2 linked regions of the Drosophila melanogaster genome follow. The protein of the gene in region 2 purifies or fractionates together with the protein of the main gene of each other region. This does not show direct contact. Each region holds a gene or a part of one and is shown on either strand. Other genes may lie near its edges.

Region 1 (4,992 bases), 5.4 Mb from region 2:
CATTTGCTGATAATCCTAACCAGATCGTCGTCCCGCTCGCGCACTTTGTATACAACGTCGTCGCGGGCGCACAGGCGACACCAGTATATCCAATCGCTTGTGGGAACTCCCATGGCTAATCCTCAACAGAAGCCCCACAGTTTGGTACAGTATGCCCTCGGGTTTTGACTAAATTCTATTGCCAAAGCGCTGATTAAAATCAGCTGTATGGAGCGGAATTCCGAATCGATTAATTGGTATGCGCACTCCGATGATTTTTGGAAATATCGATAAGTGCAAAACAACAAGTTGTTGCCGCCATTTTCAAAAAGTATTCAGTTTAAATTTGGAATTGAAAATTGTATTTATTTTACTTTTTTTTCTCAATCATAAGAAGTATTACTAACGTTTTCCTTCCTGCGTGTCGATGTTTATTAACATAGAGATGTATTATCATCATCATTTGGATGTGGTTTCCCAGGGATATAATGTTGTTTTTAAAACATGCGACCGAGTTTTTACTCTGGTATATATATATAAACAATATAATAATTTATTTTCGACTTACATATAAGAAAAACTGTGTATAACAAAAACTAATTTTAGCACATTTGCTTAATATAACAAAATGGAATGATAAACTACATCTCAACGTCTTCCATATCGTTCGCCCCACTCTCCACCCAATTCTCGATGGTGTAATAGGCTTTTAGAGCCAATTCGTCGTCCAGCGTCGGCTCGCCAAGCACCAAAGGGCCCAATTGCTTGTCGACCATAACGTCTTGCCAGAATTCGCTGCGATTCTTGGCCAGCGCGATCTTCTTCAGCTCCTCAGCGAACTTGTCGTATTCCAAAAAGGTGTTGAAGTCTATACAGCTCTGTCGGTACAGGGTGATGAGCTCGCCCAGTTGCCCGATGTTCTGTTTCCTGCGCTGCAGCAGTGTGATGATCACCACGCGGGTATCGGCAGCCAGCGCCTGAAAGCGGGCATCTCGCTCAGTGGCATTACTGATTGTGTGAACGCTAGCCAGGACTCGCCTGAAATCAGAGATTGGATCAATTAAGCCCACACCGTCTGATGGCAACGGGATTTCCTTCTCCGCTGGTTCCGACTTGACTGCCACACCATTCTCTGCCTGCTCCTTGGCCAACAGCTTTTCCTGCCAGGCGCGACTATAGCGCAATGGAAATAGCTTCTTTACGATGGCTGCCGCTCTCTTTGACTTCTCCTCCAAGGGATCTGGCACTCGCCAGAATACATCTGCGAAGTTTTTGTCCTTAAGCATTTTGTCTTCCTTGTCGTTATCATAGATAACTTTTCGCTCTAGGATGTCCATGACATTCTGCTCAAAGATGCTGGGAAGTGCGTCGAACGGCAGCAGATCATTCTGCGCCCACGGACGTGGCTGCTGCGTGTCCCGCAGTGTGCACTCCAGATCGGTGCTATCGATTAACTGATCAATGGCATTCAGCTGTTCCTCGCTGCACTCCGTCTTGGTGGTTCGCAGTGCCGGAAAGTCCCAGAAGTGGTGCTGAGACGTATAGGAAACTTCCAGCATATACAAAGTAGCCGGATGGGTATCGTCTGCTAAGCGGGGCAGTAGCACAACCATTTGCGGTCTATTAAACTTGGTGCTATATATTTTCCAGCACAGTATGGCCCGATCCGAAGAAACGAGAGCACGCACCAGAGCGTCCAGCTTCACGGCGGCAGATTGATTGTGCTTCTGATGCACCAGGAGGTACAAGGACTCGCCACAAAAGTACTCATCCGGCACGGCATTTCTTTTGATAAAGCCAAAGAAGTGGAGACCAGGTGGGTGTGGTTCCTTTGGCTCTAGCACGGCCTCGTCGTATGGCACCGGAGTGCCGCCCAGCATGTAACCGGTTATCAGATTCTCCGGCAGCGGGGTGATCTCAGTGCCTTTGATATAATGACGAGTCTCCCGTATCACTATCTCATCCTTTTCCGCCCAGACCTTTACCAGCTTTACGGGCGTCTGGTTCTTCATGGCGATTATGCCCTGCAGGCTAATGGAGATCTTGCTGCCGATGTTCAGCTTTGCGTTCCACACCCAGGGTCGCCGGTTGGTCACCTTGAAGACGGTATGCAGTGCCTCCTTGAAGCTGCACAACGTCGCATTGCAGCGAGGAACGAGACTGAGGGCGTACTTCTGGTTATTCAGCTCATCGGGGCCGCATTTGCGCGAAAAGTTGAAAATAGCCTGAGGCTGAGAAGTGATGGCATTGTCTATGTAGGCTATGTTGTGAGTTCTAAGTGATAATGTAAATTATTATTACTATTATGCATTTAACAAAATAAATAATCTTACCCCACAATTAACTCGATGTTTTCGCCAAGTAATTCGTCCGTGATTTCGTTGAACTTCTCGTAGTCCTGTGGAAAGTCGTTGAAATCGAAGAGCAGGAGGATCCTCCGCCTGGCGACTCTCAAGCTGCAAGGAATATTCCATAAAATGTGATGGTTAGATGATAAGGTAAGTCACATACGTAGTTGCGACATTCTGAAGCTCCAGGGCCGCCTGTAGACCATTTAGCCATTCTCCATCCTCGCAGGCTGTCTTATTCACAAACTGGAAGAATTCCAGCAAGAGCTGCCAGCTGCAAAGTCTTGGTTCACCAAAGGGCAGCACATTTGGGTGGGAAGCATCCTCAGTTTTTATTTCATCGGTGTCGCAACCCACGAGGACGAAGGACACGTAGTCCTTCCTATCGCACACGATCTGCAATTGTTTCAGTTAGCATATTTAACTGAGTTCCCAATTGTATTTCACACACCTTGTCCTTAAGAATCTCCGCCACACATTTTGCGGACTTCAGCTTCACTTCTTCGGCGGCACATGTTCGCACATCCAGTACAATTATAAGGCATTCCTGGAAATCAAACAATGGAGATACCTTAACATTAAATGCGATTATTTGTGAACCTACCTTGTTAGAAGCCATCAAACAAGTTTATTTACCTAAATTCAGCGACTATGTTTTTAAATTTCACAACAATAATACCATTCAGTCGATAACAGAAAACACCGGCGGCTTACTGACCTAATGCACTACCACCTATCGCTTATCGATATTTCTAGCACCGCGTTGCCAACTTACTTGCTAACTGTTACTTTTCATAAAAACGAAATGCAAAATTTTGTTTTAATTATAAATAGTCAATATATTTGGTTCGTGCTCAAAATACTAATAAAATAGTAAGCAATAGTTCCCCATATCTCCCTATGCCTTTCCGTAGGTCTGCAGCTTTTCCAGATACTCCGCATTCTGGCTCAGGTGATTGAATATCAAGTTCGTATCGAGGACATTCGTCGCAGGACCTCCATATTCCGCAGGCAAACTTTCGTAGCCAACCATTTCGCGCAGCTTGCTCAGATGTCGCCCATCGTGGGTAAAGATCTTTTAAACGAAGCATTTTTAGAGTGAACAAATTAAATCCTTATATTTTTTTTTACCTTTTCTTTGAACTCCTTGTTCATGAAGGGCATAAACAAAGTGGAGGTTACGTGCATCAGGAAACCTCGTTGTATTATATGCACGATGCGCTGACTGAAGGGCAGAACTCCGTTCTTTTCGTTTACCACCTTCATAAACGCCGGCGAAAATTGCCTGAGAAAATTTCGATTTGTCCTGGAATTTAATAATCGGAAAAATAAAAATAAATAAAAATAGACTATTGGGAAAAGAAATTAAAGAAAAATACCATTTTTCAAAAATATTTTAGATTCAATTCACAAAATCATTGAATAAATTTAAACTGTAAAATATACTTTTAAAAACACAAATAATACTTGAAATGCGTTTTCATCTTACTATACATACTAAGTAATACTACTAATCAAGATAATATTGAGAATAAATAAGCGTAACTTTTGTGTAATAATAATTTTATAGGATATAACACACCCTTGAAGATCACAAATGACCGTAATCCCATTCTGTTGGACGCGCGGGAGCAGCAGCAGCGACTCGAAGATCAGGTCGTCCATCTCGACGAGACTCTGCAGATAGTCGGGATAGTCCTGGAACCCATCCACCGTCTTAAAGACGACCAGCACCCGTCCACTGCGATCCGCCTGGGGCATAACATAGCGACAGTGGGTGCCGTAGAAGAGCTGACGATAGTGCTCAATGGGATGACGGGCCACCCAGGTGGGATGGCGTCGCTTGAACTCATAGTAGTCGTGTATGGCCTGATAGGCCTTGATTGTGTCCCAGCGCGTGTAGTGCAGAAACTTGGTCAGCAGGGTGTCCTCGGTGCCCACTCTTAGGTCCTCGCATTCTGAAACAGTTTCATCTGGCTGATCGAATCGAGGAATTCACACACAGCATTTAGCTTACTCTCCACCAGCTGCCTGAGTTGCTCAATTTTGAAAATCTGCTCGGCCGTGTGATCGACACGGGCGGTGAGGAAAAGCATTTTGGGTTTAGGCTTTGAATTTTGAACGAAATATCGTCCAAAGGTGTTATAGAATTTTGATCGGTTGCTTTTCAAGAGCCAGAAGTTTCACATTTACACACTCAATCCGTTAACGATCCGCACTCGCAACGCAAACAACGCTCACTGACTAAAGTATCCATGAAATGCGATTTGGTGTAGATGGTTTATTTGCTTTATAACCGGTGCGTGCTCAAATTGCTAATGGTTCCAAATTGCCTAGAAATACATATCTAGTTTTCAGCTTGAACTTGGCTTCTATGGTGATTTATTGCTTTTAGTATGTAAATAAAATCTTTTAGAAAAGTAAATCGATATTATAATAAACAAATCTAATAATATAATTTCTTTAAAATTTTTTTAAATCTTTACGAATTCTTTCTTAAACGAATGGTATTTAATCAATGCTGCAAAGGCCTCTTCTTCGCTGAAGTTATCAACTTGACCTAACCACGTATCTTAGCCACAATTCAATTATGACGGAGGTGGGTGGGTGGCCAAAGGAGTCGGGTGTTGAGAAAAAGTCAAGTCGAAAAGCGGAAAAAGTAGTC
Region 2 (3,684 bases):
CAGCCGCAGGAACAAGCTGTGGCGAAAGCTCCCAACTCACCGTCACTGCCGAAAGAGGATCCAAATACTTTACTTGTGCTAAAATCGGGCTTTCAATGCCCTGGCGAACCATTTTTCTACTTGGTTATCTACGAATTTGAGCACGGCACATGCATGGGTGAGTGCATTGGTACGTGTGTGCTGCGATTTAAAGAGGATGACCCGCGCATTCAGGACACCTCGCAGGCAGCTTTGGAACGCGTCAACATAACACCAGACGATGTATGGTGCCGCAGCGAGGACCGCGGCATCTTTGAGCATATCGAGAAGTTCCACGAATGGTACAGATCAGAGGGGTTCTCTTAAATATTGTTTAAAACAATTCTTAATGTTCTTAATGTTTTAAACAATTCTCTTGTGTGGGAATTAATTCGTCATAGAATTCTAGTCTCTTTATGCATATATTGTTTCGCATGATCATCCAAAAAAAAAAAAAAAACAAAAAAAAATTTCCTACCTCTGAAACCACTTTAAAAAGGTTTAATGATTGTTAAACTAGAGAAGCATGCAGTAAATAAATTGTGTTTTATGTTTTTGTATTTATAATTTAATTCTAACCTATTATTGGAGTACACATTGTTTCACTTCTCCATTGAAACCATATCTCGGCAAATAAAGAAGGCGGCTACCAGAGCTGCAGTTTGAGCCACTTCTGTACATCCTTTGGCCAATCTCTCCTCGATCTGAGCTAGCTTTACAATAAGCTTGTTCATGACCGACATAGGCAGCTCAACTGTTTGGAATACATATCAATAACTTGACTTGATGATAACTTGATAAAAACTTACGTCTCATAACAAACAAATGCAATTCTGTAATGATGTCTTCCAAAGCGAGACCTCTTGCGTACTTGGCACTTTCGACAGCTATGCAAAGAGAAGAAAGAATCATTAGTTTTGATCTTTCGCCATTTCAAATCGCATCATACTTTTGAAGGAGTCCTCCAAGCTACTGCCGGATAGCAAGGCCTTCAATATCTGTTCAATATCCTGCCTCAACGGATAGCCCACGCACATGTAGACGTTATCCTCGTTTACCGTATCAAATGCCATCACGGTACTCTGCAGGACGTTCAAGACCTTTCTCATATCACCTTTGGCCAGGGTCAGCAGTGCCCGCTTGCCGTCCTCAGTTATCTGAACGCTGATAGTTGATAGATTTTAGGTTAGTAATAAGCTATTTTATGCAGTTGAAAGACCTTACGCTTCGGCTTCGATGATTTTTTCCAGTCGCGGCATCATCTGATCCTGGGATAATGGAGCGAACCGAAAACGGGTGCAACGCGACTGCAGCGCCGGAATGATTTTGCTCAAATAATTGCAAATCACACAGAAGCGCACGTTGTCCGTATATTTCTCAATTATGCGGCGCAGGGCATTCTGGGCATCGTTGGTCATGGCATCGGCCTCGTCCAAAATGATCAGCTTAAAGGTGTCGCAGAAAATGGTGCGTGTGGACGCGAAGTTAAGGATTTGACCGCGCACAATCCCAATGCCTCGGTCATCCGAGGCATTCAGCTCCAGGACCATGGACTTAAACTGCTGAGGGGAATACAATTGGCGAGCGCAGGCCAGGATTGTACTCGTTTTTCCCGTGCCAGGTGGTCCGTAGAACAGCAAATGGGGCAGCTGCTTGCGGCTTATAAAGCGGGTTACTAGAAGTACACTTAAATGTGGTGGCTTTGTATGGCTAAACGCTCAGAATGCTCACTTGTTGATATTATTTCCTCGTGAGATATCAAATCATCGAGACCGCTTGGTCTGTACTTTTCCACCCTGAAGAAATGAAAATAGTATTACTTGTGGATTTCCAAGATCTAATTACAAGTTACCAAGGCATGCGCACTGCGGGTCCACTGGTTTCCGACATAACTATAATTTGATATATTGGTAGAAATTTAATACAATAAAATGCGCATGGAAGCGAGTTGCAAATGCGAATTACCGGTAAAAATCGATAGCTCGATGAATGTCAAGATAGCGGAAGAGTAAATGGTAATCGAAAACACTTGTTGGGGTCATTCGACTATCGATTTATTTTTATCACATGCAGGCTATCAAGTTCAAAATTTTACAAACGAATCTATTTACAAATATGTATTAAAAATAATATTATTTAACCACAAAAGAAAAGTCATTTTGTAAATTTCAATATAACGTTATACAGTTTATTGTTACATTGTCCTAATTACACTTTTTGAATTTTTCAATATTTTAATAAGGGTCACAATGTTAGCCAATACTATATATTTTTATTATTAGAATATGCTTTTAAATCGATTCATTTACATTTACTGTAAAATATAGGATCTCCAAAACTTGGGTCAACATTTTAGTACCTAGCACAAAGCTGCTGAAGAACTTTGTTCTTACAGGAAAAGATAAAATTAAGTTTTTTGTTGTATATTTCAAGGCATGGTATTGTTCTAAGTCTCTTATAAAATTTATTAATACATTATTATAATATTTTCTAAAATTTGTTTATTTTGAACAACTGCAAAGACACCAATTGCACAAGACCTTAGCTCGGTATTCAAAAAAAACAAACGGAAGCACTAGTAAGTTAGTTTTGAATAAATATAGTTACAATAATAACTTAGAAACTTATTGACACTGTCTTTTTATTATTTGTTCCCAAGCGGCTACCAATCAATATATTTCAATTCCAACCGCGTCTTTGGTCACATGACCTCATCTTCGATTGCACGATCACGTCATTTTATTAAAAGTCTGGCGGATGAAATCATAATATTCGTCATTTAGAAACAGGTATTTTTCAAAATGAGTAACGCTCACCTGTTCTGAAAGTTCCGTATCCCCAAAAAGCAGATCTTGTCGCTTGGCGGTACGTCTGCGCACTTTGGGGCTCTTATCGAAGCTGAAGGAAGAATATATATTGTTTAGAGTTAATCCAAAACATATGAAATACAATCAGTCTTACGGATCGGAATTTCCTAGAGGCGAAGGACTTCTACTCGTCGTCCTGCGCATTTCCACTTGATGGAACTCGGAATTCTTGTCGTCTTGCGGGATGTCGTATGTGGCGTTGCTGATCAAAGACTTTTGTGAACCTGGATTTACACTACTTGCGATATTACTGCCCTTGAGATTTAAGGAGTCAAATATGTCTGCTATATGAACGTTGCTGTTTTGCGATAGGAAATGCTGCAGTATTTGCTGCTGAATGCCGCTCTCTTGCTTAACTTCCTTCAGCAGCGATTCCTTCTCCTGCAAATGAGATTCGGCAATGGCCAAATTGCACGACATGACAATGGCGGTGTCGGAGAACTTTTGTAAGATGAATTTGGCTTCCGCCACGGTTGATACCTCGTCCAGCAGACTTTGTATCTTATTCACATGGCTCTGCACAGTGTCCTTTGTGTCCTCGAACTCCATTATGGCCTGCTGCACATGCTCTATATTCTCCTGAATATAACTTATGTTTGTTTTGAGATTGTCAACTTCGTTGAATTCATCCGTTTGCCTGTCAGCAGTTTGTCCGTTTTCCATTATGTTCAGCTCACGAGAGAGATCTTCGCGCTCCAGTATCAAACGTTCCAGCTCCTTCTCCAGTTGCGTGATCAGTTGCCTGTTTCTGGCCGCATGCAATATGTTGCGGTACAGATTTTCCCATCTATGTCGTGCG

The links. The genes of interacting proteins can lie anywhere in the genome.
Region 1: the proteins of RfC3 (region 2) and Ku80 purify together in Drosophila melanogaster (affinity purification with mass spectrometry, with the first as the bait; one large-scale study listed by BioGRID). This does not show direct contact.

Annotation. Positions count from the first base shown.
Region 1 is NT_033779.5:15,768,119-15,773,110, forward strand, and holds Ku80 (Ku80), read right to left. Parts: upstream 3,042-4,992; 5' UTR 2,947-3,041; coding exon 2,932-2,946; intron 2,875-2,931; coding exon 2,779-2,874; intron 2,724-2,778; coding exon 2,491-2,723; intron 2,436-2,490; coding exon 2,313-2,435; intron 2,254-2,312; coding exon 621-2,253; 3' UTR 512-620; downstream 1-511. Other genes in the region: wek (weckle), read right to left, coding at 1-113; CG31826 (uncharacterized protein), read right to left, coding at 3,226-3,402, 3,459-3,633, 3,910-4,285, 4,345-4,423.
Region 2 is NT_033779.5:10,417,489-10,421,172, reverse strand, and holds RfC3 (replication factor C subunit 3), read right to left. Parts: upstream 1,984-3,684; 5' UTR 1,909-1,983; coding exon 1,871-1,908; intron 1,815-1,870; coding exon 1,750-1,814; intron 1,694-1,749; coding exon 1,243-1,693; intron 1,183-1,242; coding exon 968-1,182; intron 906-967; coding exon 828-905; intron 773-827; coding exon 621-772; 3' UTR 561-620; downstream 1-560. Other genes in the region: pie (pineapple eye), read left to right, coding at 1-345; Klp31E (Kinesin-like protein at 31E), read right to left, coding at 2,748-2,768, 2,835-2,916, 2,980-3,684.